Ovis aries: one gene and its partners. The protein of the gene in region 2 interacts with the protein of the main gene of each other region in a biochemical or structural test. Links are inferred from orthologs where the notes say so. Each region holds a gene or a part of one and is shown on either strand. Other genes may lie near its edges. The genes, in order: MECP2, PRPF40A and U2AF2.

Region 1 (10,331 bases), on a different chromosome or scaffold from region 2:
AAGGGTGGGGGTAGTTCTGGGGGCCTGAGCTGACCAGCGTCGGCTCAAAGTACGGTTGGGCACTGAGGCTGCCTGGAACAGAAGGGAGCAGTGAGGACGAGGGAGGAAGGGGAGAAATAAAAAGGCTGAAATGAAAGGAGACAGAAACCAAAGGAGAGGAGAGAAACCAATCAGGAAGTCCTTATAAATTGCAGCAAACACTTAGAGTTTCGGAGCTTCGTGGGAACCCTATGTGCTGAGCCCACTTGAAAACAAGCGCAGGTATATACAGATCCAGGTAGTTGTCAACACTGTCACGTCTAGTGGCCTGAGGGACAAAGGGTCACCAAGTCAAGCCCGCTAGCTTGCTCGCAAAGCAGGTTTGTTTTGAAGTGGGAACATGAAGACTCAATAGTGCAAATAGTTCTAAGCTGTCCCTAAAGGAGTTGAGAATTGGAAAAGTTTTGGAAGAACATTTCCCCTGCCTTCCCCCTGGCCCCTGGCCCTGTCTACTAAGGCTCGAACTAGCGGCCACAACTGCTCTGAGCAGCTAGGGATGCCTTCTACCTGGCCTGTGGCACTCCGCCAGCTGTAGCCTGGGCCAGCCTGCTGGGGCCTCGGCACGTGGCCTTGGTGGCCTCTGTCTAGCGCTACCCGCTGGAGGCCAGCCCTGGGCCAATGTCGCCTCTGGCGCAGGCCAGTCGACACCCAGGGGGGCTCAAAGGATGCCTCCCTCCTAGCTGGGCCAGAACCGGGGCCGACAGGTGCTATGTCCCCATCCTGTGAAATGTCCTGGTCGATTTGGGATTGGGGCTGGTGGGGAGCCGTCTGTGTACCCCCATGGGTGGGATCACACGGGCTGGAGCCACTGGCCGTCTCCACCGTCTCGAAAGGATCCAACTGTCTCTTTTGCCCTGGACCTCCTGGTCCCGACGTGGGTGGGCATAAGGGGGGCTGGAGGGTGGGGTGGTGGAGCTCAAGGCTGGGCAGGGTGTGGGGGGAGAGGAGAGCTGAGACTGGGGTAGCGATGGCCCCCAAACCAGGAGTGTCTTCTCAAGTGCTCTCTGTCCCTAGTGACCACGTAGGGGGACTGGGTGGGAGGGAGGTGCAGGCACACCCTAAGAAGCCTGGGCAACAGCTTGTCTGGTCAGTAGTATCTGCAGCAAGCCTTGTTGAAGGAGCCTAGTTTAGAAAAGTGCAAAGCTACTTCTGGCCCTGGTTAGGTCTTCAACCTGACTGTGCTTGTCGATAAGAAAAAAACACCCCCAATGCTCCAACTACTCCCACCCTGAAGCCACGAAACTCTAAGTTTACTGAAAGAAAAAAAAATATTTTTTATTTCAGTTAATCGGGAAGCTTTGTCAGAGCCCTACCCATAAGGAGAAGAGACAACAGCTGCCTTTATTCTTGTTGGTTTGCTTTGCAATCCGCTCTGCGTAAAGTCAGCTAACTCTCTCGGTCACGGGCGTCCGGCTGTCCACAGGCTCCTCTCTGTTTGGCCTTGGCATGGAGGATGAGACAATGTCTTTGCGCTCTCCCTCCCCTCGGTGTTTGTACTTTTCTGTGGCCGGGGCCGCGGTGGCGAGCGCGGGCTGAGTCTTAGCAGGCTCCTTGGGGCAGCCATCGCTCTCCAGCGAGCCTGCTCTCGGCATCTTCTCCTCTTTGCAGACGCTGCTGCTCAAGTCCTGGGGCTCAGGGGGGCTGGCAGGGTCCTCGGAGCTCTGGGGCTCAGGCGGGGGTGGGGGCGGGGGCAGGAGCAGAGGCGCGGGGGCCTTTGGGGGCTCCACGTGATGGTGGTGGTGGTGGTGCTCCTTTTTGGGTGGCGAGGAGGCGCTGCCGCTGCGCCCCTTGGGGCTGCTCTCCTTGCTTTTCCGCCCTGGGCTCTTGCAGGTCTTCAGTCCCTTCCCGCTCTTCTCGCCAAGCGTGGACACCAGCAGGGGCTTCACCACCTCCTTCACCTCAATGCTCACCGTCTCCCGGGTCTTGCGCTTCTTGATGGGGAGCACGGTCTCCTGCACGGACCGGATAGACGACTCCTTCACGGCTTTCTTTTTGGCCTCGGCGGCAGCTGCAGCAACCACACTGCCTGGCTTTCGGCCTCGTTTCTTGGGAATGGCCTGGGGGTCGGCCTCCGCTTTTCGCTTCCGGCCGGGGCGCTTGATGACCATAACCTGGGCCGAGGTGGTGGCCCCACCCCCTTCTGCCTTGCTGCCCGGCGCAGCTTGGAAAGGCATCTTGACGAGCAGCTTTCCAGGACTTTTCTCCAGAACCCTTTTCACCTGCACACCCTCTGACGCGGCTGCCTTGGGTCTCGTGGTGCCACTCCCTTTAGGGCGTCCCCGACCTCTGCCAGTTCCTGGAGCTTTGGGAGATTTGGGCTTCTTAGGTGGTTTCTGTTCTCGCCGGGAGGGGCTCCCTCTCCCGGTTACCGTGAAGTCAAAATCATTAGGGTCCAGGGAGGTGTCGCCTACCTTTTCGAAGTACGCAATCAACTCCACTTTAGAGCGAAAGGCTTTTCCCTGGGGACTGTGGGAACAAGCGGAGACACACAAAGAAAGGTTAGAAGCTTCCAGAGCAATGCTGGAGGTGGGGCACAGGAGAAGGTGGATGGTGAGCCCTCTGACAGGAGATGTTCTGCAACTGACATGCCCGATGATACAGCTCACCAAGAGGGACATTTAAGAGAAGCTGAGATGAGCTAAAATTAGGGAGCTATGGTCCCATTTATACAGGAAGCAATCGGGTCGCCTGATGGCCATAGGTGCCCACGTGGCCTGCTGCTACATGGATGCCCCCGGGAGTTGCACTCCTCAGCCCCCCAAAGGGGTCTGGCCCGGGGACCCTGTCTACCTGCCAGACTGAACTCTCCAGGAATCAGTTTCCTCATTCGCCAGTAGGATGATGCTTTATCTGAGTTACTGGAATTAAATGAGACTGTACGAGTGAATTCCAAAATGGCTAACCTGTCTGGAGTCATTTAAGGGGGACAAGTGAAATGAACGTAGTCACACTTGTCCTCTAAATATCTGGCTAGGAAGTGACTCTGTTTCAACAGGTAACACCCAACCACCAGCCCACAGCTGGACAAAGGCCAGAGGGACAGTGGGAAAGGTACTCCGAGCCCATCTGGGGCTCTCTCTAGGCTGTATCAGACAGCCCCCCTTTACCAGCACGCCTCACGCAACAGACTGAACCCTGTGAATTTGTATTTCTCAGGGCTCATGAAGTATTGGCACAGAAGGACTCTCCCACAAAGAAGAGGTTCCCAGGTCCTGAGGACAGCCCCTCTGCTGGGAAATCATCAGCAGAGTATGAATGGCAGAACTCTGTGTCCCCAGTGCTATTCTTCCTCCAGACAAGGCCCTGATGGACATCTCCCTCAGGGCAGTGACCTCCCCAGGTGGTCATTCCAAGCATACCTGATCAGACCCACCAGCAGTGGTCACTACTGAAGACCCGACCGGAAGTGGGTTACGCACACACACTTTCTTGATCCATGAGCCGCAAGGAGCTAACACTCCAAGGGGTCCCCAAAAGTTTCTTAGTGGTGATCCCTGACTCTTTCCCAACCACCACCACTAGCCTTCCCTGCTCTGGAGAGACAGGAATCACCCTCACTTACTTGATCAAGTACACATCATACTTCCCAGCGGAGCGGCCAGATTTCCTTTGCTTAAGCTTTCGGGTCCAACCTTCCGGCAGAGTGGGGTCATCGTACATGGGGCCCCGATCACGAATGATGGAGCGCCGCTGCTTGGGGGACGCAGAAGCTTCTGGCACGGCTGGGGCCGAGCCTGACCCTTCTGAGGTCTCTGCTTTGCCGGCCTCTGCTGGCTCGGCAGAGTGGTGGGCTGCTGGCTGCAGGGGCTCATGCTTGCCCTCTTTGTCTTCTTTCTTATCCTTCTTCACCTTTTTGAACTTCAAAGGTTTGTCCTTCAGGCCCTGGAGATCCTGCTCTTCGGACTTTTCTTCCCTGAGTGTTAAACAAGGATGTCAGTATCACAGGGAACAAACTGGTGTGCAGAAAAAAGTGGGCGCCAGCAGGTCTGGGGTGCCCTGACATGGGCAGGGCCCCAGGAGAGGGGCTGTCCTACTAGCGTCCCCCAGATTGAAATGCCCTTCCCCTTCACAGATGACTTGAGAGCCTGGGGCTGCTGACAGTGATGGCCCACAGCACCCTACCGACACTGTGGTCACCCTGAGGCCCATCTCTAGCAGGCTTGCCAAGATGGCTTCTCGGTGTTACGAGCTAGGGCCTCTGGGTTGGACGGATGATGAGAGGCTCTCTCACCCGCTGGAGAGGGACCTACTCACCAAAATTGAGGGGGCTCCTCTTCCCCAGGGAGTGTTACTTTAAGTTTTTGTGTTTTTAAGCATAAGTGTTACTTTAAGCTTTTGTGTTTGGGGTTTTCTCAAATGGGTGTTCAATGAAAACCGTACAATACACCTTGGTGATGGGAAGAGCCCAACACTGCCCCTGGGGAGGTGGTGCCGAGTGCAGTGTTGAGGAAAAACCTGCAGATTTGGAGTAAGCCACACCGAGCCCAAATCGTGATTTTTTTTTTTTTTTTTGCCATTTCCAAACATGGATCTGCACAAGTGACTTCAACATCCTGTGCCTCAGTCTCCTCCTATCTTGACAATGGGTACCAACACCCTAGACAGAGAAGAGTCACAAAGGCATTGTCTAAACAGTGGGATGGGGCAACCAGACACTACTGCCCAGGGTTCTCACGTGAGAAGAGGAGCAATTCCCTGCTGGGTGAGTCTTTCTCACCAGACTCTCCTGACCACGCGGGGCTTTGGCACTGGGACGTGCCTGATTCCAGGGCGGGTGCCTCCCCATTCCTCCATGCTGACAGACCAGTTCCTCCGGTATGCATGGGTCCCACCCGGTAGGACCCCCTCCTATCTCCTTGGACAGTGGTTACTGTGAGGCTCCAGACTCTGGGATTAGAGTCTGGCCATGCTGCTCTCGTGGCTGGGCCAACAGGGTGAGAGCATCACCTGGGCCAGGGAGGCCTGGAAACCAGAACTGTGGGCTCAGAGCCAGTCACCTGCAAAGCCCTCTCTTAGAAACTCACCCTGGAAAAGAGCCAGACTCATCTGTGTTCCAGATCTCAGCCCCAGAGCCTCCTGGGGCCCGTGAGGCTCACAACAACCCACCCCAAGTGACTTCCCTTGCTGGCCATACCCTGGAGACCACCACCAAGGCACCAAGGCCTGCCTTGGCCGCAAGACTCGAATGACATGGCTCAGTCCCCAAAAGTGAGTTTGCACCAGAACTCACAGGTCGGGCCCAGGGAGACGGGGCATGGAAAGGGCACACCTCGCCCTCCTACCTATCCTGGCTGTCTCCGGCAGAGCTCGAGGGTAAGCCCAGGCTTAGCTCTGTGTCAGGAACCCAGACAGTCCCAGGCCACAGGAAAACAGGGCCCTGATGGCCAAGTCTGGCTTCTTCAGAGCCCTCATGTGCATCTGTGGATACTGTAACTACGGTGAGCTTTGGCATGAAGCATGTGCCCCAGGAATGCCCCTTAGGTACCAACAAGGGTGTCAATGCCGTCTAGGGCCAGCCCTTCTAGAAATCTACCAAGAACACATACCCACAGAAACAGAAAACAACATTCTGCATTTGAGCACAATGCTATTGGTGATAGCATTCTTTTTACTGGCCCAAGACTGCAGCCAAGCCAGACAGCCACCGCCCGAGACCTATTGGGCCAACACTGACATGTGCACACCACGGAGAGCCAGGTAACCTGAACCCCAGGGTGGGAAACTCAGGGTGGGACCCCCAGGAAGGGGTCCACGGTAGGCCATTCTCCAGGGGAGAAACAGAGACTTTAGGAAGCAGAGGGCAGAAATGCACAGAACTAGTCCAACATGGGGTAGGCGGGACTGAGGTGAGGAATGGCACAGGGCCAGAACTTGCCAGGTGTGTGGACCAGAATTTCATTTTCCGAATCATGTAAAAGTTGACATAACCAAAAAGAAAATCAAGACAGAAGGGAAGAGACTAGAACACGCCTAGCATCCATGGAGGGGAAACAGGCTGGCTCAGGTCCTAGGGCAGCCTGTGCTGGGGAAAGTGAAGATCCAAAAGCATGAACTGTTTAGATTTCAGAGAAGAAAATAACCCGCTTGGCGATGTTGGGGGGAAAAGGAGGGAAAGACAGAAAGTGAGGGAGGGTCTCAAGGGTCTTATGAGGAAGGTTTTAGGCAGCAGGGAGGCCTCAAGGAGGGGTCATGGAGCTGTGTCGGGTTTGATTCTGGGTGTGATGGGATTCCTTCAGCTGCTGTGTGGAGAGTGGCCTGCAGGAGACCCCAGAGAGCAGCAGGTGGCCTGGGGGACTCTGAGGCCTGCTGGACTCCATGCCACAGCAGCCCTGCAGCAGCATCACCTTGATGATCTGGGGCAGGGGATGGCAATTCCTCATGGGGCGATGCCCAGGGCAGGGCAGACTGCTCCAGGGGCTCTCGAGGCACAGTCCCAGGTGTAGGTAGTGGGGACTCGGGACGTGACCAGGAGGTGAAGCAACACAGCTGGCCGGTGTGGGGAAAAGTGTCACCAACTGAGGATAGGGAAACCTGGGCCAGCAGCAGGGTGGAGCGACAGCCAGCCCTGCGAGGAGGCACTGCAGGAGCAGCAAACACCGCATTATAAGCAGTCTCCACCTCAACACAAAGGAACAACTAAAAAGAAGCTCAAGGAGGGGAGGAGAGAATTCTTTGGCTACCAAGTAGGGAGACCCCTGTGCCCAGACTGCAACTTGGCCTAAATGAATTGCATGGGCTTTGAGAGATTTTTATTACAATCACATAGACATAACGTAAAACCTGCCCTTTCACCTAAATAATCGATAAATGAGTTTTCAATAGCACCAATGATGGGAATAAGACAGCCTTTAACTATCTATGACGTCCTGGCTCTTTCAAATTGAAATTACTTGAAGCTGCTATGAAAATATGGTGATTTTCAATTCTGTGGACTGACGGGCACAGAGGTGGTTTGGTACTTTTTCTGACTGCTACTGAAAACAAATAAAAGCCCACAAAGAAGCCTGGAAGCCATTCTGCTGAGTGTGAACTGGAGGCAAAAAGGGTGCCAAACAGGTAATCCAAGTGAGTCACCCCTGGCTCAGTTGCCTGCTCGGTGGCAGGGTAACCTGAAGGAGGGAGGCCAGGCAAATACTTGAGGCCCCCCAGCAGAAGGGTTATGGGGTTTGTTAAAACACAGTTTCAAAGAAACCAAACAGCCCTCTCTTCATCCCCCCTTTCATCAGACTGTATCTCTGTGTGCATGCGTGTGCACACACACTGCCCCAGAGAGGACCGTGAGAACTGAGTACCTAGTTCTTAAGTTCATCCATTTGAGACTTGTGGGTATCCACCTGATCAACTCTTCAATGTTACAGGTCAAAAGAAGAGCAGAGATAAGCAGACAAGGTTACCTGTCTGAGGTCATATCTGAGATGACATGTGCTCGTCGACGGCCCTTGCCCAAAGCCAGCCTCAGTTCTGGATGGGGACACCAGGGTAGAACCAGACTCACTCTCTAGGCTTCAAGTGCTCCCCGTTTGGGGGAGCGGATGAGGGGAGGCAGCCAAGGGTGACCCTGTCCTCTGTCCCAGGCACAGAGGAAGGCCAGACACAGCGGGTCTTCAGGGCTGATGATGAGTGCTCTGGGCACGGCAGACCAGGTGGGCCTGGGTGACCCCAGCAACAGCTCTATCCTGCCACCACTGGGAAGCCCCTCCCTGGAGGAATCAATGAGTCAGGGTAAGCCCCGTGTGTCACCCTGGCTCTCGACTTCTGAGAGGCCTTTCCTGCTCCCCACAGTGCCCCAGAGAGCACACACGTCCTCTTTCCTGTCGTCCCCTCGCTCAGGAACCGTGTGCCAAGGGAAGATGGCACCCTCTGCCCATCAGCTTCAAGGAGGCAGCCAGGACATGCCGACTATGGGTGCCTGGACCTTGGGGTTGGCAGGAGAGGGTGCTGGAGTGGCCACTGAGGGCCCAGGAAAGTCGAGAGTGACGCCTACAGCGATGGAGAGTGTGTGGCCACAGAGGACGGTCATGCTGGGGGTGCAGGTCCACGGATCGGCTCCCCGCAGTGAGGCAGAGAGACCTGCAGAGACTCCTCTGGCTGAAACTACCAAAATTGCCGGACTGAACGACTTCCAGAAGATGCTATAGAAGACAGTGCTTACAAAGGTTGACCAATACTCACAAACTGGCCAGAGACTAAGGAATATGCAAGCTAAAGAGGCCAGGAAGGGAGGGAGGGAGTCCTGTTTGGCGAGGACTCCAGCAGGCGCTCCATGGCCGACCAGTAGAAGAGCCAGGAACAGGGAAAAGCGGGGACAGGGATAAGCGGTGATAGCAGCACCTCCTGAGGCCATGAGGAAAGGCCTGGAAATAGAGGGGCATCCCACGCAGTGGCAGGCATGGACTCTTCAGAATGGGTTGCAGCTTGCGCAGAAAAAGGGCTGGTGACTGAAGACATGGGCCACTGGACTGGCTCACTGAAGGCAGCCGGGGAGGTGATGCTGAAGTCCTTGAGGGCTCCAACTGCCCCAAATGGATGCTCGGAGCAGAGTCAGCCTTCAGGCCTCAGGAGGGTGATGGCGTGCCTGCTTGGGGCACAGGGGCAGCATGTCTGCAGAGGCAGAGGTGACAGCAACATGACTGGAAACTGTGCTGCCCGACACCAAGATTTCAAAGCTGTTTCACCCAAGCTGTCTCACAATTAAAGAGGATGCCTTCACTTCACGTGGATATATTAAGAGAAAAGGCTGGAAACCTTGCAGAAGTGGCTTCTTTTAGTGGCTCAAAGCACTGCAACGTTTTCAATAGCATTATGCTCTAGATAGTACAGCTATGAGTGTGAAAGAAAGTGTTGACATGTTTCCCTGTGTTTAAAAAAAAAAATCACTGCCAAAGGCAGCCTTGCCCAGGACCCAGCTTTTAATATCAACAGAAAAACTAACCTGTACAATGCAGGGAAGGAAGCACCAATCTGGGGTCATGGCAAAAACCAGTCAGCTGATATTGATGCCACTTGCAAATGCCAATAGAGCCTCCAGTGAGCCCTGGTGCTTCTTTAACCACAATGGTTACTGGTTTTGTGAGCTCTGATTACCAAATCACACACATTTCTCATGGTCTACTCTGATCCAGTTTTTCCCATAACAACTTCTGTTTTCCAATGTGTGATTACCAAAACACACGATTTGGGGAGGAAATGACATATCACATTGAAGCAGAAGAGCTACACAAATCTTAAACATCTATAAAGACTGAGAGAAGGCTCTTATGTAAATAAAATCATTTGCTAATTATGCTCGTGAAACAAAAAACATTACATCAAATCCTTGCTTTGACCTAGCAAAGGAAAAAGAGTTGCAGGAATCTTGACTTCAGTCCAAATCACTGTATCCCAAGGGGTCTGATGGCAAGAACTGACTGTATTTTCCTAATGAAAGGAACCTCCAGTAATCAAGCGGGAGGCAGCCTTGGTAAGCCGTACCAGGCACTCTTTGGATCCAAGGCTCCTGTGAATTCCACGGGTGTGATCGCTGACATTTGGCACTTGCACTGATCAGACCATGGACACTCAGGTGGGATTACTCAACCCCCAAGGATTTCATATTAAAGACAGACAGACCACAAAACCAGGTGAAGGCTGTAGCTGAAAAGGTATTCTTCCCTTGAAGTGGAATCAGGCTGCCCCAGAGTGAGCTCTAGGACATTTCCAGAGCCCCAGCGATATCCTGACGTTTCCTAATTTCAGTCATGCTTGCATCAGGCCCATGTTGGGAGATGCGTGTGTCAGCACCTTTCATTTCCACCTTTCAGCCACCTCGTGGAGTCCGGTCAGGAGCCCAAGCCTCACTACGAAGCCACGAACTGGAAGGATGAGGGGGTGGCTACTTCTCCACGTCAATAGTCTGGGACCCGAGGCGAGAACAGGCCTCCCGGCAGAGGCTGCTTCTGTCCCGAAGAGTCAAGTACGAGCTACAGCATCTCAGAATCCAGGAGGTTTCTCTGCACGAATCATCAAGGCAGCAGCACTGTGAGTCTCCAGCTTTGGTCCCTTTAAAGATCTGAGAGCAATCAAACTGGCACTGCAAGATGGTCTCAGAGGTCTCTGCAGAGGAGGAAGAGGGACGGGGTTCTGCTTGAAGGCTTCAACAGTGGAACCTAAAGTTCAGTGGCCCTGTTCTGAACTCAGTGTATTCTTTAATAGCCCAGTTTTTAGAAGATGCAAGAAACTATGCTTTGAAAAGCTGTACAAAACACAGTTCATGCCGCCCAAAGATAGAACCCTCCCCAAATGAAGGCAGTCAG
Region 2 (10,331 bases):
CCTGTTTTGTCAAAAATGGCCTGAAATGATTAGTTCTCAGAACTTAAAATAGGAATTTTGTCTAATTAGGGCCTTTAGATCAAGCTCTGATCTAAAGTCAAAAACTGGACTGAGGAGGAGCTAAAGGTTAGCTCCTCAAAAGTCACTACTTTCAAACCACTACTCTTGTAACAGAAGTATGTGTATGATATGAAAGAAGATATGCTTCAAATCATCACAGGGGATTGCCTTTCCTACTCAAAAACCACATGAAAAGTTGTATGTTCTCATATATAATAACCATTTGGACATTTCTGAAGGAATAGTTAAGACTGAGGCACAGTCACTAGAACGTCTCTTCACTGAACTTCAGTTAGTTTGGGGTTCAGTATGGTTTATTGCAATGATGCTTTTTCAAGCCCTTTAATACAGATGACGAGTACCACGGATGCTGGGTGAGCACATCTGTCAACTGATATTTTACTTTACATTCACTCAATAAATGCCTACTATGTGCCAGGCACTGTTCTAATTTGCATGACAGTGAGTGAAACACAAATCCTTGCCCCCAAGGAATCTGACCACCACCTACATCAAAATGGTGGAAAAACACAAATCCTTGCCCCCAAGGAATCTGACCACCACCTACATCAAAATGGTGGAAAAACACAAATCCTTGCCCCCAAGGAATCTGACCACCACCTACATCAAAATGGTGGAAAAACACAAATCCTTGCCCCCAAGGAATCTGACCACCACCTACATCAAAATGGTGGAAAAACTTAACAGCAAGGTAAGAATAAGGAAGGTAAGAATGATTAGATTGCTATACACCATTATTTGAACCATAGAATGAAACTATGAACTAAGAATGCATTTCCATGAAAATTACTTGGGATGTTACTTTGCTTTTCCTTCATGTAAAATGAGTCCTAGAAAATGTAAAAAAAAAAATTGACCTGCTATTGGGAGAGACTTCCCCCAGGGAAAAGAAAAAGTGATTTAAGATAAAGGAATTAATGTGCTTTGCCTCAATTTTGCTTTTAGAAGTGTTTATTTAGTTCTTTAGCTTTGCAATTTACATTTAAGTTACATAATCAACACCCTATAAACTCATTTAAAAAAATGCATTCATTACTCTTTGCTGGGTACTATTTGATGAGAAACTGCTCTCTCAAATAGTATCCAAGTTTTAAATAATCCTTAAATAAAGGATTTACCCCTATCTGGATGCAAAAATAAAAGTGGCTGCCTAGTCAGCACTCAGTTGATCATTAACACTGGAAGAAAACCAGGATCACCTAGGCAAATGATTCTTAACACAAGATGCAGGCCCCCTGGTAACTGAATGAAAACTATGGACCTTCTTTTCAGAAAAATGTATACAAATATTTGAAGTTTAACAGTCTTACTACTGTGAATTAAAAGACTGTTTTACTCTAGGCCAACCCCTTTCACACTATTGTTGTACACGGGGTGCAATTAGCAAAGATCAAGATGAAATGGCTGTGATACTTTGAGTATTTTCAGATTTACTGGGAGGCATAAAAATTATTTTCATTGTTGAAACACATGAATAATCTATAGGTTGACGCTCCTTTGGGTAATGATAATGAAATGGCATCACTATATTAAAAATGTTGGGACCACTGCTTTTATTTAAAAGTTTTATGTTGTTTAAATACACTTGGGAGAGGTGCAAAGAATTCTTCATATGTCATTAACTTTTTAAACCAATTCAATTTTTCCACATAGGAATTAAATACTGGAATTTTATACTGGAAGGAATAAAAAATATTTGAAGTCCTAATTTTGATTATTAAGCATGATATTAAATGTATTACTGAATTTAATCCAAGAGTGCATTAATATTAATGATAATGAGGGAAGATAAGCCCTTAACATTTACCTAAGTCTGAGGCTTAACTGAAAAGTATAAATTCCCTTTATCTGAATATAAACATACTTTCTGTTTGAACACATTTTGAACATAACTGTTCAGCTCTATTAAAACCAATATTCTAAGACATTTCAACTTTATTAGACTGAAGACCCAGAAACCTAATGAAATGGATTAAAGATATTCACACATAACTCTTATTTTAATAAAATCTACCCATCACCTATATCCCAGGCCATAGCATCTGTCTGGCAACTTAATGCCATTTGATGGGATCACTACAGGATTATAGTCACTTCAATTACATACTTTATAAAAACTACGTTGTAGTTTTGCTTTACAACTCATTAGCCTTGTTTTTAGGTCAAATAATTTTCATGGTTGGAACAATAAGGAAACTTGAGTTTGTACTGTCTTATGGGAATCTGAAGTTGTGATAAGATAGTATCTCTGTAATACAGAAAGTTAATTTGGAATATGCTAAATCATGTCAATAGTTTAATAGGAAAACTAAAAACTTTAAAGTTCTACTTTAAAAAATCATGATTCATGGAAGTAATTAAAAGTTTTACAGATTCTAAATTCTGTGAAACACCACCAATATTTCTGCCAATATCGTATGTAAATTTTACTTTGATGTCCAGGTTAAGTGTTTGACACGATAAGCAATATTAACTATTATTATGAAGGGGCCTCTGAAAATTAAGTCTAGGCAACTTGCCTGTTGATAAAGTTGTTATATGTTGTGGTTCTAATATACAATAGGAGACTAACGTCAAGCAAGAAACTGGCTTTGCATTTGTTGAAGATAGTGGTTTTTACTTTCTACAAAGTCATGTCATATTTCACAGCAGAAATATGACTTGGCATTGAGAAAAGTTCAGGACTCCCCCAGCCTTCTGCAGCTTTCAAGAGTGGATACTAGATTTAATTGAAACATAGGGGGCAGAGATGGGAAAAGTCATCCCAATATGTCCCACTTTCAAATTCATTAGGATGGTGAAGGGAAAATGAACTTTTTGTTCTTCTAAATCCCAACGTGAAACAGGATTGCCCCAAATGCCCAAAATAAAAAAATACCTAAGGTAATACCAAAGACTATGTGCTAAAATTTACTTATTTACTTAAAAAAAAAAAAAAAATCTCCTGCACTGAAGGAAAATAGTATAAATTACATTACCAACCTTCAAAAGTTAGCATGTAAAAAGTATTCTAGCTTCAAACCATTGCCTTTCTTAAAGTATTCTGTAGGAAATTCATAGATCAAAAACAAATAGAGGGGCCTGTATGATTTATAATATTCTTAAATATTAAAAAAGGAAAGTAACTTAGCTATGTGGGTTAGATAAAGCAAAATTTTAGGGGTTTAGTATCTTAACCTTTAAAGAATCATACAATTTTTTTTTCAGAGCTGAGCAGTAGAAATAAATACTAGTACACACTAGAAGAGAAGATTTAATAATTGATAAAAATGTACAAAAATATTCAAATCAGAAATGCTTTAGAATGTGTACCACGAAGTCAATACTTCTCAGTGAGTAGGGAAGGTAAAAGACTTCCTCAATGAAAAAAAGCAAGAGAAAGTTCGGATTAAAAAAAAAAAACTGTTAAAGAAATTGCTGAAGTCAACATTGATTTGTTTTAGACAAGGATATTGCAGCCATCACTTAAAGTTTGGTGGCACATTCTTTAGTAGGTCCTTAAGGCAATATATTTAAGCTAATTTACAATTTGATTTGATGTTAACTTTTTAAACATCACCTCAAAATAATGCCCTCACAGTAGCCTTTTCAAAATGTATTCAGATGTTCCATAAAAAATAATGGTGGCTTTATTATAGCAGTGCTGAGCAGCACCACTATAGTTAAGGGTCTACCAGGTTTCCATTATGAACACTTATTTCTGAGTTTACCATAAAAGATCATATCATTAACCAGTTGGGTAGTGCACAAAAAAGCAGTTTATCAGTTGCTGGTGCTTTTTTTTGTACTACTAGATATCAAAATTTTTCCATTATATCTTCAAAATCCAACTTCTATAAAGTAAATCAAATCACCTCATGACTTACACTTTAGAATAAAGTAGAGACACCTGCAGTTATCAGTAAATTGCCACCTTTAATCCATCCTGCAGTGCCCTATGAAAGGGTCACAGACAGACAGTTATGACTGTATGAAAATATGATTCTTGATACAGAATCAAAAGTTATTTTCAATTTCCTCTGCTTTTATAAAGTCCACAATAACAATACTTAAATGCACTTTTTTTTTTCCTGTGATATAATTAAAACCCAGTGTTATTTCAATTGAACTTAAAATAGAGTCCCTGGTCTGAATTAGACTTTAAATCATACTGTAAACATATTTGGTATAATTTATTGATCATCATCCAGTTGCTCCAAAAGGGTCCTTCTGCGCTTTTCCAATTCCCCTTCACTTAGTTCACTGCCAGAAGTATCCCAATTACCCTGAAAAACAACAATGAATACGATTGTGTCAGTACTCAAAAGGGTAAATAGTAGTGAACCTTTGAATAAAGAATACAAAATCTACATGGATTCTCTTCCACAAAAACTAAGGCATCACAGACTGATTAAAGACTGATTTCTTTCCCAAAAGCCTACTAATGAATTAACCAAATACTCCCTGGTTACTTGTGGAGTAAGTAACCAGGGGAGACAGTTCTCTCACAACGGAACTCTTCTAAGGTGTTTACTTTCAGTTTGATATGTAGATCAGGGAGAATAGTATGTATCCATTTCTTTTCCTTCCTTCTACATAACTGAATATGAATCATCTTATTTCCATTTAATGGAAGCTGGGTGTTCATTTTCTAAGTATTCTTCATTAATTTTTCAGAATCTAGGTTATCCTGTGCTTTATACTAAAGTATTATCTTTTCAGCATTATTATATTGTACCCAGAGTTATTAGGACAAGTTAGGCTGGAAAAACTTTAAAAACAACAAAAACCACACAAAACATTTTGAGAAGGAACTCAACTCTTCAAACATAGAGTGTTCACCTATATTTTCCATCACCCTTCAGGGATCCCATTTAATCTAATGTAAGGACACTTAAGTCACTAAGTAGGTACAGAGGAAATAATCATTCCTCACTAAAGATGTACATCAGACTCTTCAGTGCTGTTTGAAAACAAACACCTCTCCACCCTATTCCGACCGAAGGAGAAAATCCTAAGGGAGGACGAGGACTTACTACACAGCTTAAACTCTCAGTTGGTAGCTCAGAGGCATTATACTTGCTAAGCCCACAGAATTTGTGGCATGAAAGGCTTGTGTTATATGCTCTGCCACACACATACATATGGGGGAAAACTAAGGATTGACTATGTAATTCAATATTAAAACACTGGATTTGGCTTATAAGATCCCCTTTTGCCCTCACCTCTTCCCTCCCAAATGATTATTATTTCTAAAAGCTGTTGGAAAGCTACGTGTTGAAACAGGATTTACAACGATGCCATATCGAGGGAAAACCCAATTTGAGTTTCTTAAATTAGGCAGAAAACATCCATTGGCATTTCTTAATGAGAATGTACAAAGCTAGAACAACATATTCTTTCTTAGAGGGTTAAACAACAGTGACAGAATGCCATGTTATTTTTTTAATGAATATGAAATTTAGGATGCTTAAATTGGGTCACACATGATGACATACATTAGAAAACTGCTCTGTGTGAAAAGCAGCTAACTGGTAGATACAAAGAGGAAGAATTCTAAATTCTTACAGAATCCTTTCCAGTCTTTTTCTTAGGTGATTTGTGTTTTGATTCTGATCTTTGTCTAGTTCTGTCTTTTTCGCCTTCCCGGTCTTTTTCTTTTTTATCTTTTTCTCTTTCAGCATCTGAGTCTGGAGAGTCCTTTGTAAATAAAAGACAATGTTAAAATGGTTACTTTATTAAAATGCTATTAGGGAAAAAAACCTTGTATTGGTAATATTTAAGAACACCCACATTTAACATGGTATTTATGTATTCAGCAATACGTGAACCATGAACTTCCAGATGTTCATGCTGGTTTTAGAAAAGGCAGAGGAACCAGAGATCAAATTGCCAACATCTGCTGGATCATGGAAAAAGCAAAGAGTTCCAGAAAAACATCTATTTCTACTTTACTGACTATGCCAAAGCCTTGGACTGTGTGGATCACAACAAACTGTGGAAAATTCTGAAAGAGATGGGAATACCAGACCACCTGACCTACATCTTGAGAAACCTATATGCAGGTCAGGAAGCAACAGTTAGAACTGGACATGGAACAACAGACTGGTTCCAAATAAGAAAAGGAGTACGTCAAGGCTGTCTATTGTCACCCTGCTTATTTAACTTATATGCAGAGTACATCATGAGAAACGCTGGGCTGGAAGAAGCACAAGCTGGAATCAAGATTGCCGGGAGAAATACCAACAACCTCAGATATGCAGATGACACCACCCTTAGGGCAGAAGAGTGAAGAGGAACTAAAAAGGCTCTTGATGAAAGTGAAAGTGGAGAGTGAAAAAGTTGGCTTAAAACTCAACATTCAGAAAATGAAGATATCTGGTCCCATCACTTCATGGTAAATAGATGGGGAAACAGTGGAAATAGTGTCAGACTTTATTTTTTGGGGCTCCAAAATCACTGCAGATGGTGATCGCAGCCATGAAATTAAAAGACGCTTACTCCTTGGAAGAAAAGTTATGACCAACCTAGACAGCATATTCAAAAGCAGAGACGTTACTTTGCCAACAAAGGTCTGTCTAGTCAAGGCTATGGTTTTTCCTGTGGTCATGTATGGATGACAGAGTTGGACTGTGAAGAAAGCTGAGCGCAGAAGAATTGATGCTTTTGAACTGTGGTGTTGGAGAAGACTCGTGAAGAGTCCCTTGGACTGCAAGGAGATCCAATCAGTCCATTCTGAAGGAGATCAGCCCTGGGATTTCTTTGGAGGGAATGATGCTGAAGCTGAAACTCCAGTACTTTGGCCACCTCATGCGAAGAGTTGACTCACTGGAAAAGACTCTGATGCTGGGAGGGACTGAGGGCAGGGGGAGAAGGGGACGACCGAGGATGAGATGGCTGGATGGCATCACTGACTCGATGGATGTGAGTCTGAGTGAACTCTGGGAGTTGGTGATGGACAGGGAGGCCTGGCGTGCTGCGATTCATGGGGTCGCGAAGAGTCTGACACGACTGAGCGACTGAAGTGAACTGAGAGTGGTGAAATCTGAATTGATAACCTCAAGGAATCTAAAACATTCCAAAGATTCATGGCAACAAGCTGGTCTTTCCTATGGGAAACATGACAGTCTGATAGGGTAAATTATCACTAAAAATGGGTCACTAAATTAGGTGTACCTTCATCCCTAAGATTAGGTGTATCTTGATGTGTACCTAAGACCAAGAACCGAGCATAGAAGAGAAAGTTGCTTAAACTTGTGGTTCTCAACAATAGCTATAACACACACACACACACACACACACACACACACACACACACACGGGTCTTTCTCTAAGATTACTATTTGTTTCAAGTTCACCAAAGGATTTTATTGCAAGATTAAGGTGAACCACAACTATGAAACTCTTGAGCTCAGGTGCTCACCTAAACTCTGTATAGGACCAAGCAGAAATGTCTACTGCCACTGAGAAAGCTAAGGGCAAAAGCTTAGGTGCAGTATAAAAATCAAGAGTCTGCTTACTGATTTATGTCTTCTCTTCTTGCTTTTCTTCTTATGTTTTTTTGACTTCTTATAACTTCTCTCTAAGCAGCATGAAAAGAAAAGTGTCAGAATTTGAGGACATCCAAATGCCAATGACTTTAATCAAGTTAAAAGATATGTTTACCAGATTCAGCACTAGAAGAATGTTCTGAAGCAGAACGAGACTCTGATCGCTGTCTTTTTTTCTTTGAATGGCTGTCATCATCATCTGAATCTGACCCCTACACAACATAAATAATTTTATTCATAATGATGGTAATAAATACTTCAATATACTTATGGTACCATTTGAAATAAACTTCCTTACTGATCGAGAGCGGGAGCGCTTTCTGTGATGTTTTTTAGATTTCTTAGAATGCTTCTTGTTTTTTGAATGATGATGTTGACATTCATGCTACAGGGGCAAAAGAAAAAAATTACAAAAGCTCACACTTTAGATAACAGATCACAGAGAATTTTTAATAGTTTTGCAAGTAAGTTCTTTTTAGAGTAAAAACGACATTCATTTTGCCTTTTTAGGATGTACTCCCCAACTTGAAACTGTGCAAAGAGTTACTATCACTTAAAAGCGAAGAGAACATTTTAACTATCCTATACGTACTCATTTCACATCTAAACACAGGTTTAAAAGTATTAATAAAATACATTTTACAGCAATGAGAATGGTTTGGGTACAGTGGGGACAACCGATACCCTCTATAAAGGTATATGTCTTCAGAACAGTCATACTACTTTCAAAAACAATGAAATATAATTATATAGTATTTATTTGATGAACGTGCCTTTTGTCAGTGAGCTAAGTTCACCACTGAAATAAAGGATTATCCCAGAGCCATCTGTCAAGGAGGTTAGTCTCAGAAATTGAATACAAAATCTACTTTCTTTTCAAGGAGCATTCCCTTCCTAGTCAAACTTAAGATATCCAAAGGCAATCTAACTACACATGAAATCAAAAGAGGAAATGTTCTATGGATTTTAACTATTTTACTAGAACAATGATCAGGCTAGAAGGAGAGAGGAAATGCTGCAGTAGAAGTCCCCTACTCCCAAACCAGGGACTCTCACTTTTTATGTCACTAACTGTTAACTCTTCTTCCTTTTCTACCTCAACGCCCGTTTTTGAGGTCCAAATCCTTTTCTGGTATGTTCAGCTCTTCCCTATGTGGTCATCAGCTCCATTTATGACCTCATCACTTTACCAGCATAGATCATGAAAGAATCTTGTTGTGGACATTCCTGAATTAGGGGAAAATATTAACACACTACACTACAGCAAAGGTTCTCAAAATTAAATGTACATTCCTGTGCTTAAGAATCTTGCAACAATAATAATTCTGATACATTTCTGCCAATGGGGCCTGACGTTCTGTATTTTTAACAAGTTTACAGACAACGCAAATGCTGCTGATCTGAGTAGAAAAGATCTACAGGCCAATAGCACTAGATCTAAAGGCAGCTGAGAGACAACATATGGTACATGTGGGGCATGTTAACAGAGCAAATTGTTGTCAACACTGATACTTATCAAGGACAATAAATCCAAAGAATCATCAACAATTAAGTTACCTACTATTCCCAAAGACCATGAACATTACAAATTTAAGTATATGCTAACTTCACTCTGCTGTGAAGTATAAGTTTATCCATAACTGATGGCAAAGCATACTTGGTAAAAGCACTGGCCCTAGAGTCAAAGCCTACATTGGAATCCCTTCACAGCAAATTACTTTTCCTCTTGGGCTCAGTTTGCTCATCTGTAACTTCACAGGGTTTCTGTGAGGATTACATTCGTATATGTAATATTTATAAAACATAACATGGGCACCAAATAATAATTATTATTGGTCAATTTAGCATGTTTACTATCTATAAGTGACTATCTGAAATCTTCATCAAAATACCCTTAATTCAGCTAGTGGAATAATTTGCAATTTTATCATTACTTGTTTTAGCAAAAACTTACTGTTTTTCAGAACATCCCTGTGCTTCCAACACCTCTATTTGAAATATGCTTAAAACCGTTTCCTATCTGCTTTACAGATTCTAAGTTCTTTACAGGTTTATTAATCATTCCATGTGACTCCTAAATTGATGAACTTCTGTAACACTGTATAAATATGAAACATATATGAACTATCTTCACAGAACAGATCTTTACCTTCTCATGCAAGCCTAGTGTGTTTCACTTAAAAGCAATTTCTATAGAATAAACCATTCCCTAATCATCCCAGATAGTTAAGTACATGTATATAAAAGTAGTGTAATTTAGGAAAAACACTTTGATCATTCTAAATTTGATTTAAAAAAATGTTTTACATATTTTTTAATGTATCAGCCAATTACAATAAAACTAAAATTACCTCAAGCACATGCATAAAATCTTTAAATATTCGTTTTCTTTCAGATTCTAGAGTTATATCCTCAAATGCTGGCTCTTTTACAAATCTCTCCCGGATCTGAAAAATTCAGATATGCAATAAAAATATGAAAACTGAGAAAAATATACCAATATGACTAAAAAAACAGCAAGTGAAAATTGACAGCCCAGCCCCCTTGTCTTTATTTCCGTTTCTCCAGTATTCCTAAATGCCATCACAGCTGAGTTCACAATCTTCAAATAACTTCAGTTTATCTCTGTAGCTATGAGAAAGAAAAAGATTTTTATTTTCAACTGTAAAAGGAAAAAATTTTTAAGTATACATACATCTTCCCAGACAGCATCCAATTCTA
Region 3 (10,880 bases), on a different chromosome or scaffold from region 2:
ATGCCCCCAACACAGGCCCACCCTCGGCATAGCCTGCAGGTCCGGTGCAGCCATGTGCTGCTCCTGCCCGGTCTGAGGACTTTCCAGAAGGGCCTTTTATACCATGAGTGTGACAGGGCCCCCGACGCCAGCATCTGTGAGCATTCGGGCCAGAGTGACCGAGGAGCTCCACCAGAGACAATGTGCTGCAAAGCACAGCAACTCTCTGGCCCATCAGAGAGCAGCCTCTGGCCACCCAGGTCTGCTTCGCTGTCCACCTACCCAGACGGCACTGACCACGGCAGGGAGACCTGCTTCAAGCCAGGGGTCAGCGGAAGCCCCGAGACAGGAGAGCAGGGACAGCCGCCCGTCAGGCCCGAGGAGGAGCTCCACGGGCACGTGGGCGTCCACATGGGCTCTGGCGCGTGCACTGACCTGGAGGCCCAGCGCACCCCACTTCTCCCAAGACCCTAGGGCTGCCCAGCCTCCGACAGGCTGAGAGACCCCGGGCTGGCCCTGTGCACCCCTCAGTGCCCCCCAGAGCCCACTCACCAGGCACGTAGACAGAGGGATTCTCCGACATGCCCGGCAGGGGCTGGTAGTCATGAGGCCTGCGGATCTTCAGCGACTGGCCCTGGAAGATGATGCCGTCGAAGGCCATGGCCTGGGTGGTCTCGTCCACTGAGCGGAACTAAAGAAAGGACAGGAATGAAGCTGGTAAGGGGCAAGGCGAGTGGCTGGTCAGAGCCCACCCAAGGGTGCCAAGACCGCAGCTGGGTGGCGAGCAGACTGCAGAAGGGCCTGGTGGGAACAAGGCCTGCTCACCTCTAAGAAGGCAAAGTTCTTGTCCTGGTTAATCTGCACGGCCAAGACAGGGTTGCCAGGGGCCTGCGTCAGCCCCCCCAGGCGCATCTGAGCGTTGAAGAAATCCATCATGGCCTCCTGCAGAGGAGAGAGGAGACAGGGGGGGGCGGGGAGGGGAGGTGGAGAGAGGAGGGGAAGGGTGAGAGAGGGAGACACAGAGGGGTGGGGGGAGGGGGGGGACAGTGGAGTCCGGGTGGGGCAGAGATCAGTAGTTGGGACAAACGCAGGAGAAAGATGAAAGAAACAAGGGCAGGGGGCAGCACAGGAGACAGCCAGGGGCCCCAACCGGGGAAGAAGGGAGGTCATCAGAAGAAGCGGGAAACGAGGGAGAGGCGAGAAAACAGACGGAAAGTGTAGAGGAAACATCCAGTGGCGACAGCAGGAGAGAGACGGCATGAAGTGGAGCATCAACAGGCGGAGCACACGGAGGGTGGAGGGGGGGCGGGGAGGGGGGGGGGGGGGGGGAGGGGGGAGAGAAGAGTGATGTGGAGGGATCTGGTCCTGGAGTCGGGGGCTGGTTTATCAAATGCAGCAAAGTGCAGGTTGAGAAAGTCAGAATGGACCTTACTTGCCTTCGCCGATGGTAGCAAACTTTTTGTTGCTACGAGGGATCTCAGCCCCACAATATTTCACTTTAAAGAGAAATGGAAACAACTCTTTGATCTCGGGATTCTCGGGGGCGCCACGGGAAGGGGTAGGGAGAGGGGAGGGGACAGGAGCGGTGGGGAAGGCGGGGAGGTCAGGGCGATCAAAATCAGAGCAGCAACCATGGAGGGGTGGGGGAGAGGACGGGGAGGCGGCAGAGAACAAGAGGCGTGTCAGAGAGGCTGGGGCGTGCGTCTGCGTGTGTGTGCGTGTGCGTGTCTCCCTCTCTGTCTCTCTCCACACGGACTCGGACCACAGACTCGTGGGTACGTTATGTGTGTGCTTGATCCCTGGGCAGCTGGAGGAGGCTGGGGAGGGGAGATGGGAGAGGGAAGAGGAGGGAGGAGAGGGCCACCCAGCCCGGCCCCTGGCTGGCTCAACTCCATCGTCCGTCGGGGAGGGGGCCGGGGGGCCTTGCAGGCGCAGAGTCTGACCCGTGCAGGCTGGGGGAGGGAACGGACGGAGGGAGGAACAGCGGGCACAGGAAGGGGGGGCAGCGGGGGCAGGGGAGGGCAGTACCTCAGTGATGCCAAAGGGGATGTTGCCCACGTAGAGGCGCCGGGCCTGTCTGGTCATCTGGCTCCCGACCACGGGCACCGGCGTTGGGGTCACAGCCAGACCGTCAGGGGTCATGGTGGGGAGGAGGGCAGTGGCTGGAATCTGACCCGCAGCTTCAAGAGGGACAGAAGGGGTCAGAGGACAAACTGTCGGAGCAGGGTCTGCTGAGGGCCTCGCCCACCCCGCCCCCAGCCCAGGCGTGGAGCCCACCTTGCATGGCCTTGTACTGCATGGGGGTGATGTGCTCAAAGCCCGGCGGCGGCACGTCCCAGTATTTGCGGACCTTCTTCTTCTTCTCGTGGCGGGGGGAGCGACTGGGGGAGGCGGGAGGGGAGAGTGGGGCAGGGCGACCTCAGTCTGACCAAAGGCGGGCCTGCAGCCCCCCCGGCTCCCCTCGGTCCCCGGCTCGGCTCTCAAGGAGAGAGAGGACGCAATCAGGGCCGACCCGTTCTGGGCAGGGGACTCTTCCCGGCGAGCGGATGAGGACAGGGCGGGGTGCGCGGGGAGGCGGGGGAGGGCGTGGGGGAAGGGGCAGAAGAGAAGCTCACATCAATCCACCGTGCTCCTCTTTAGCGCCTCTGGTCAAAGGTTTGCTGGGGGTGGGAGGGAAAGGTGTGGGGAGGGGTGACTGGGGACCCTCGTCTCCCCGCACACCGCACCCCCCCGAGGGCACTGAGCCCCAGGGCTGGGGCAGGGCATCGCCCCCAAGCCCCCCAGCCACGAGGAAGGGAAGAAGGGCCAGACAGACCAGCTTCCAGCTGGAGGCTGAGGTGGGAGGAGGCGGGGCGCCACCCACCCGCCCTTCCACTGGGGCTGAGAGAACAGGGGGCAGCCTGGGAAGGGAAGAGGCGTCCGAGCAGAGAGCTGTCCCGAGAGACGCCGTCCCGCCCCAGGGAGGCAGAGCGCAGCCCGGGAAGCCGACGGAGAACCCAGACCAGACGGGGGAAGCGGGGCCCTGACCCCAGAGTCGCCCCCGGAAGCCCCCGCAGAGAGACGACGGCGGCCAGACAGGACAGCAGAGCCCCCAGCCCCGCGTGGAGAGGGGCCGGCGGCCCAGACGCAGCCCCGCCGCCCTGGTACCTGCGGCGCCGCCTGTCCCGGGAGGCGCTGCGCTGGTCCCGGTTGCGGCGGTCGCGGCTCCGGCTGCGGCGCTTGCGGTCCCGGCTCCGGGAGCGGCTGTGGCTGCGCTTGCGGTGCCGATTCTCCTTGTCGCGCTCTGCGGGGACAGGGCCGTGAGCTGGGCGGGGGCAGCCCGGCCCGCCCGCCCCCGAGGCCGCGCCCCTGCCCGGGAGGCCACCCCCACGGGGAAGGGCTCGAGGAGGGCGGGGCGGCAGGCTTCCTGTCCACGCACGCGGAGCCCGAGGGCCCTGGGGGCCGGGCGGGAGCAGTTACCTGAGGGGACAGGGCCTGGCAGGGCCCCGGGGTGTAAGGTACCTGAGTCTGCTCAGGAGGAGCTGGGGGGCCAGAGAAGTCAGAGGAGGCTGGCTCCTGGTCCCCCTCCAGGGCTGAGGGGCCTGACCCAGGGTCGTCCCTGAGAGGGGCAGGGCTAGACGCTGGGGAATCAAGAGACCCAGTGATGTTTTCCTGAAGGGACCCGGCGACCCCTCAGGAGACTCCTCCTCAACCAGCCGGCCCCGCGCCCCACCTCGGGCCCGCGTCAGGCCGGGCGGGGCCGGGCAGCCCCGGGGGGGGGGGGGCACCCACCCGTCCAGCCCCGCCCCCAAGCGGACCGCCCTCCTGGGAGGCCCCGCCCACCACCCCCGCGTCAAGGACGCAGGAGCTGGGTGGGCCCTTCGTCCAGACCGCCCCACGGCCGCTACAGCCGGGGCCTTCGACCTCCCCTCCTTTGCCCAGCAGCCCGCCACCCTCCGAGGCGCGCGGCTTCTGCCCCACGCGGTCTGTAGTCCAGTCCCTCGGTTCAAAGAGGCCACTGGTTCCTCCACTATGCTCAACCAGCCCTCAGACTCCAGTTCATTTTACAAGGAGGCGGGGGCAGTAAGGACAGGCTGTCAAAGCCTCGGGCGTACTGCTTCAACTCTCAAGCTCTTCCGAAGCAACTACCCGCGAACTTTTATAAATGAGTTTTAACACTAAAGCTACATACGCACCCAGAAAAGAAAAAAACCTCGTTGCAAACACTCAGATCCTGTCTAAAACCAGACTCTGCTGCTTTTACTCCCCGGGTTACTGTGGGGAAACACTTGCTGGGAGCGGGAATCTCGCTCACAACAGACGAGAAAATTGAGGCTTAGGGAGGTCATGTGACTTGCCCTGGCCAAAAAGCCTGGATACAGGTGAAGCCTGAATATGAACCCTGAAAGGTCAAGGGCAGCTAGGCAGGGGCAATACCTCTAAACACGAAACAGGCAGACCCATTAGGACCTGGCTGGAACCACTGGTGATGGTGAAATTGCCTCCTCAAAGATGAAAAGACTAAACGTGAAAAATATATCCAAGACTGGCACCAGGAGGAACGGGCAAGCAGTGTGAGGAGCATCCTGGTCCTGGGAAGGGGATGGACAACGGTTCTGGGCCTCTGGCTCCCCACTGCTAAGACGGGGAGACACCCTTCCCTGCAGCTGAGGCTCAGAAACAGACAACCAGAGAGAGGTGGTCACACAGTAAGCACTGGTGCCCGCCGGGTGTCATGGACACAAACACGGAACCCAGGTCGCAGGGGCTGAGGCCTGGGGGAGGCAGGACCGCCAAGACAGACTCAGGGGCAGAGCAGCACGTGGGCAAAGCTGCCCCATAAAGCAAGGGAAACCCCTGCCCCACCCCAGAAAAAAAAAAAACAAAAACAAAAACAGAATGATCCAGCACACATCAGAACAGAAGGGGAGCTCTGGCTGCTCTAAATGCCACGGCCACGTCGTTATGGAACAACTCACCAACCCCAGGGACATGCCCAGGCTGAGGGCCTGGCCTCCCAGGGCAGAGGGGACACCCAGGCAGAGACCAGAGCGCGGGTGTCAGGGCCCCAGGGCAGCTCCATCAGCTCTGGCTGTCCAGCCTGGAAGGACGCGACTCCGCAGCCCCGCAGACTCAGGGGCCGTTTCAGCTTCCTGCACAAAACCGTGCAACAGCAACCAAACCTCTAAACCTGTTTTCTCCTGTTATTTAAATGAGGCTCTTGGGCACCCCCAGGTGTACGGCTTGGGTACATCTGCTGGAAACGCGCGTCCACATTTCCGTGTGAGCCCGCACATTATGAACGATTTCACCGTTGAAAAGGTTCACTTATTGGGTACTTTAAAGAGGCCAAGCCACATGCCACACACTGTCGGCATGTTGCCCGCTGAATCTCAGCTCTGCCTCTCATCAGCTGAAATCTGGAAAGCTTTTATTCTTGAGTCTGTTTCCACCTCTGCGAAGGGTACGAAATCACTTCAGCCTCGCGGAGCTGTTACAAGAACCCTCTTAGGAAAACTGCAGAAGAGCTTAGCAACGTGCGTGACACACTGTGGTGGGTGCTGTAAACTTAACTATTATCACTATCATCTGTTAGCGACCAAAAAAAACACCAGCGACCTACGTGAGAAAAAAATAGGCCCACAAATACTCAGGCACTCATCAGGTGCTACTCATCGTCTGCTCCCCTCCAAAGCCCGTGCTGTTAAGCAGTGCATCACGTATGGGACAGACAACCTGTGGGTAGGTACGCTTCCCCAGGCACAGTCTACTGATCCAGCCACCCCCTCCCCAACTTCAGGCTGGGCCGAAAGGTGAATCCCAGCGCCCCTCACTCAGCGTTCCAGACACAAGCAGAGTAAGCCTCAAGCCCGCCACCTTCCCTCGACCCAAATTTGTTCACTCTCAAACCGGATTAAGGCGGCAAGGAAATCTGCTAACTGTCCTACAACTCTCCCAGCGCTAACGTTCTTGGAGTCCCCAAACTAATCACAGCCCCGTGCTTGGACTCGCCGTCTCCCGAGGGGGACGAGCTTCCCACCCTCTGAAGTGAAACGAGCCCTCTCCTCGCTCAGTGCCCAAGAATCCGCTCCACGCTGAGATTTAGGAGGCTGGCGCGATCATGCAGGCCGTGGGGAGCGATGACAGACAAACACTCCGCACTGCGACCGCCGGGGGAGCCAGGGCCCCAAGAAGGGGTGCAGGGGTGCGGGAGGGGCACAGAGCACGGACAATGCGGCCTCTTCCACCGCCGCCAACCCTAGCAGCCCGCGGGGTCCCGGCGGCCGGTGAGCAGGAAGAAGGGCAAAGGCGCCGGGGTGAGAGGTGCTCCCCACGCGGCACTGCCAGCGCCCACGTGAAGGGGGACCCACAACCGCCATTTTGGAACAAAGGGGGCGTGGAGAACCAGGCCTAACCAGCCGGAAGCGGAAGTGCCAGGGCGTCGGGCGAAAAGGAGTTGCTGGACTCATCTATACAATCCCCTTTCCAGATTAAAAAACGCATAAATCCGTGAGGTGACACCAGGCGAGCCCGCTGCGCCAGCGCCGCCTCCAACGCGACCACTCTAGGCGCGGAGCGGAGCGCGGTGCGCATGCGTCCGGGTCGGCGCCCGCCGCCCCCTCCCCGCCGCGCGTGGCACGCCGGGCGGTCACGTGAGCGAGGCGCGCGCCGCGGGACGGGAGGGGGGGTGCGCCGCGCGGCCCTAAGAAGAGGGGGAAGCGACGGGAAAAATGGCGGGGGACACGGAGGGAAGCCAAGAACCGCCCCGCCCGCTGCCCCTCTCCCCCGGCACTCTCACCTTGCTTATTCTCGTTGAGCTGCCGCTCGAACTCGTCGAAGTCCGACATGCTGAGGCGGCCGCGTAGGGCGCTGTGCAGCTTTCGCTTCGCCTTGCCGCGCGCCCGCTCCGGCCGCTTCGGCTACTTCCGCCGCTAGCTTCGGCTACTTCCGGCCGCCGCCGGCGCTCCGCCGCCTCCTACCTAATCAAGGCCTGGCTGCCCGCCCCGCCCCGCCCCGGCTCCGCCCCTCACCGCCTGCGCGCCCGCGAGGTGCCCCTCCCCCCAGGGTCTGGCGCCGAAACGCGTCGGCTATTTCCGGACCGTAGAGGAAAGCGTCCGGAGCGGTGACTACGGCTGCTTCCGAAAACACCCGAAGTGAGGGTTTCGCGGACTCTCCCAAGTTTTCGTAACTTTTCGGATATTAGCTCTTCCACGTTCGGATGTTTTCGGAGTTCCTTGCGTTCCTCTGTACCCAGCCCCCTCTAAGAATCCGGCTTCTTCTGAAAATTCAAACCGTCCCTTTGACTGCTTGCGCTGATTCTCCCCGCTCTTCTCCGCCGGCCCAGTCCAAGCGAATCGGCTACTTCCGACAGTCCTAACCGTCCCGGAGTCGGCACTTTCCGAAGGTTTCCGGCGCTCGCCTTCGGACCCAGTCAGAGATCTAGCTGTTTCCAAACTTCGGTTCCTTCCGGAGATTCCAGTGGCACCCTCCTCCCCTCCCGGAGAACTTCGGCTCCTTCCGCCACCACTTCGGGAAGACCCCCCACTCACGGGTGACAGCTTCGGCTTTTTCCGTCAGTGCTTCGGCTCCTTCCGGCTCCGGGAACCGAAAAGGGAGGGAGGACAGAGGCGAGGTGGGTCAGGGGAGAGGAAACGGAGAAGGGCAGCGTCCCAGCTCTCGGCACCTGACTCTCCGGGTGGGGAAAGGGGAGGAAAAGAAGGGCCGCTCCTGTGGAGAGCCTAAGAAGGCTGCGCGAGACAAAAGCAGCCAGCGGGGTAAAGGGTGCGCGCGGCCGCTGCGGAGGTTGCCAGCGCGGCTTTGTGCGCCTGCGCAGGGTGAAAGAGGCGGGGGGGGCGAGATGGGCTTCTGCGCCTGCGTTAGACGTCGGTCTGAGGCGAGGTTTCTCAGCCGCTCCAGAAAGGCCCCCCCACCCCTGCTTCCAGAGCCCTCAGCGCGCGTGCGCGAGTCTTCCCCTTACCCCGGGGAGGGCACTGCATTCCCAACCGTTAAGCTACGCCGCCTCTTTACTAGTTGCCGTGGCGACCGCACAAGCGCGCTCGCCCCGCCGCGCAGGCGCCGCGGAGGACACTTCCGGGAGACGGATAATCTCGCGATACCGCCTCCTGGCGGACTCCTCAGCTCGGAGGTTCCCGGCTGCCCCGGCAGGCCACCTCCGTCGGAGGTCATGGAGTCCCTCCTGCCGCCGCGCCTCTGGTCCCAGTAGCCCAGCGGGTGGTGCTCACGCACTTTCCCCGAAGTGCTGCCCCGCCCCCAGGGCACAACTGCCTCCCCTCCCACCCCTGCCTTTGCGGGAGCTAATTACACCCTTTCTCGCCCAGTTCCCCGGCTCCCGCCTGACGGTCCACGCTCCGGAATCCTCCAGAGCCCCCGTCCCCGCGGCAACGGCCACCCCCTGCCCAGGAAAAGGCCGGGGCCTAGTTTATTCCAAATTTTATCATTTTAATTTAAATTATCTTAATAGCTCTGTCTCGTGTGGACTCGGGCGGTCTCGGAAGGCGGGTGGGAAGCTCGCTGCGGGGCTGGGGTGCGGACGGGATATGTACAGTGGCCTCGCCCCGCAGGGTCCCGCAGTCTTCCCCAGGAGGGAGGGCCCAGCGAGGGCAGGACGGTGCCGCTCAGATGCGGGGGTGCCAGTGGTCAGGGAAGACAGAACCGGGCCCTGGATGGTGGTCCTCTTGGAAGCAGGACTAAGGGAGGACAGCCCCCAACCCAGGGAAGGCGGAGGGCAGGGTGGACGCTAGGGCTGTGAGAGGCCCAGGGGACAGACCTATATACAGGGGGCCTGGGGAGGGGGTGGCGGTCCGAGTGGAAATGAGCCGCCCTCGTGGGGGCCCACCGCCCGTGCACACGCCGGCCCCGCGCGCCGGGCGAGGAAGCAGGGGCCGGAGGGCGGGCGCCGGGCCGGGTGGGGTGGGATCACCGCTTGAAGCGGTACGTGATGGGAAGCAGCAGCTTGCTCTTCTTGAGGGCCTGCACCTTCTTGAGGGTCTCCTCGTCCAGGGCCAGGAAGCAGCGGCGCGAGTACTCGAGCAGGCGCTCCTTGGAGGGGTCGAACTCGCCCACCTCGGCCAGCTTCTCCGGGGCTACGATGAGCAGCTCCGCGATGGGCGTGGTCAGCGCCACCGTGTTGCGGTCCACTCGGTGGTGCTCGAAGGCCCGAGACATGCTCTTCAGCTTCTGGAAGGTGCCCAGGATCTTCTTGTAGCGGCAGAGCACCCCGTCCGCGTCCTTCACTGCAAGCCGAGGGCAGGGGAGAGAGTTGGGGGTACAGAGACGGGGGGGGGGGGCGGCGGGGGGGCGGGAGGAGGCAGAAAGTGGAACCAGAAAGACCAGGAGGCTAGCTGTGAGTTACACACGGTGGGAGAAGGGGAGACAGGCAGGCCCGGGGAGGGCCGGAGTGCGGGGAAGGGCTGCGTTCCTCCCAGTCCTCCTGGGCCATTGCTGCCTCCCCCGGGGCCTGAGGCCCTAACTCCAGGACCACCCACGGAGGCCCAGACAGTCAACCAGGTCTGATCTGGTCTGTTTGCCGATGCAGGGGCGGGGAGAAGGGAGCTCATACAGACCCCCAGCCCCCGCGTCCCCCACTCACCCCGCTGCCTCTCCCGGGCCTTGGGCTTCCCGAAGCGCCGCCGGCCTGGGCCTCCTTTCTGCTTCTGCCTCTTCCTCTCCATGGTGCTGCCTTCTTCAGATGCTCCGCTGACCGAGGAGGCGGCTGACTCGGGGTCTGAGGCCTCACCCCCTGTCCCCCCTCGGCCGTCCCCCTCGGCCCGCCGAGGCCCGGGCTTCCCCCGGCAGTGGTCGTCTGGAGAGGGGCAGGAAGACACGCACACACGTGAACTGCGGGAACAGGACATCGAGGTGGCGGGCGGCAGGTCACAGAGTCCCCGGGAAAGGGGGTCTCCCAGGAGGAAGTGCAGCACAGACGCCCAGCTGAACACAGTACACTAGGCCGGGATTTGGGGGTCCTGGGTGGAGCGTGGCCTGAGGATGCTCAGACTTGGTGCAAGAGGTCTGGGGGAGAGGCCCAGAGGACCAGGCCAGTACCACGGGGACCTCAGGAAAGAGTGATTTTGTGGGGTTCTCACAGTGGAGTTTTCTGGGGACCCAGTAAGGCCTCCAGAAGAGTAGGGGCAGGCAAGGGCTCGCTGGGGGCGTGGGGTTCAGACCCCAAGAGAAATAGTCTTTAGGTCTAGTCCCCCCGGGAAGGGCATGCCCCCGCCCTCACCCAGACCGGGAAGCTGCCCAGGTTCTGATGCAGGCCCTCCCTCTAACAGCGGGTTCGGAGCCCGGTGCTGGTCTTACCACAAAGAAAGTCCAGGGGCCCCTGCCCCTGACCATCCTGCGTGGGTTTCCCCAGCATGGGGGGGGCGGATGGTGGTAGACCCCAGCAACCCAGGCCAGAGGTGGCGCCAGAGCACAGGGATCCCCAATGAGGTAGGTGTTGAGAAAAGCTGCAGGGCCCTCGCCCTAACTCTCAGATGACTTTCCAGAGAGGAAGTGGAAGCTTTCGAGGCAGCCAGCCAGGGGTTGACCACCACCGAGGTCGAGGAGAGGCTAGATCCTCCAGGCCACTGTTAAAGATTCGGGACAGGAAAGCCCCTGTGGGGAGGGGTCGGGGCAGTGCTCAGGACCCAGACAATCAGGCCACAGTCCCGCCCATCAGCAGGACTCAAGCGGGAAGGAGGCTGGGCTTGGAGCCCACAGAGAGCCACCAAAGGAGGAGTGTGAATGCAAGGGCACCATGTCCCTGAGGAAGGTGGAGCCCGGTGCCCTGGGGAGGGGGGACGCCCTCACCTGCGTCCAGGCGGGCAGAGGAAATGAACTTGTCGAGCTGGCACCGCAGGAAGTCCCGCTCCTCCTCCAGGTCCTCAATGCGCTTCTGCAGCCAGGAGTTCCTCTCC

The links.
Region 1: the proteins of PRPF40A (region 2) and MECP2 form a complex in vitro, tested with the Homo sapiens proteins (2 studies listed by BioGRID, with this or other methods). The link is inferred for Ovis aries from reciprocal best matches to the Homo sapiens genes PRPF40A and MECP2.
Region 3: the proteins of PRPF40A (region 2) and U2AF2 form a complex in vitro, tested with the Homo sapiens proteins (2 studies listed by BioGRID). The link is inferred for Ovis aries from reciprocal best matches to the Homo sapiens genes PRPF40A and U2AF2.

What each region holds. Positions count from the first base shown.
Region 1 is NC_056080.1:80,260,374-80,270,704, reverse strand, and holds part of MECP2 (methyl-CpG-binding protein 2), read right to left. Parts: intron 3,953-10,331; coding exon 3,602-3,952; intron 2,506-3,601; coding exon 1,422-2,505; 3' UTR 1-1,421. UniProt on the Homo sapiens protein: Chromosomal protein that binds to methylated DNA. It can bind specifically to a single methyl-CpG pair. It is not influenced by sequences flanking the methyl-CpGs.
Region 2 is NC_056055.1:156,956,173-156,966,503, reverse strand, and holds part of PRPF40A (pre-mRNA-processing factor 40 homolog A), read right to left. Parts: coding exon 10,306-10,331; intron 10,058-10,305; coding exon 9,962-10,057; intron 7,996-9,961; coding exon 7,909-7,995; intron 7,823-7,908; coding exon 7,726-7,822; intron 7,643-7,725; coding exon 7,581-7,642; intron 5,761-7,580; coding exon 5,629-5,760; intron 4,347-5,628; coding exon 4,254-4,346; 3' UTR 1-4,253.
Region 3 is NC_056067.1:62,665,816-62,676,695, forward strand, and holds the start of U2AF2 (splicing factor U2AF 65 kDa subunit), read right to left. Parts: upstream 6,916-10,880; 5' UTR 6,807-6,915; coding exon 6,758-6,806; intron 3,263-6,757; coding exon 3,127-3,262; intron 2,640-3,126; coding exon 2,595-2,639; intron 2,361-2,594; coding exon 2,257-2,360; intron 2,160-2,256; coding exon 2,008-2,159; intron 922-2,007; coding exon 805-921; intron 671-804; coding exon 532-670; intron 1-531. Other genes in the region: CCDC106 (coiled-coil domain-containing protein 106), read right to left, coding at 8,896-9,212, 9,569-9,781, 10,774-10,880. UniProt on the Homo sapiens protein: Plays a role in pre-mRNA splicing and 3'-end processing. By recruiting PRPF19 and the PRP19C/Prp19 complex/NTC/Nineteen complex to the RNA polymerase II C-terminal domain (CTD), and thereby pre-mRNA, may couple transcription to splicing.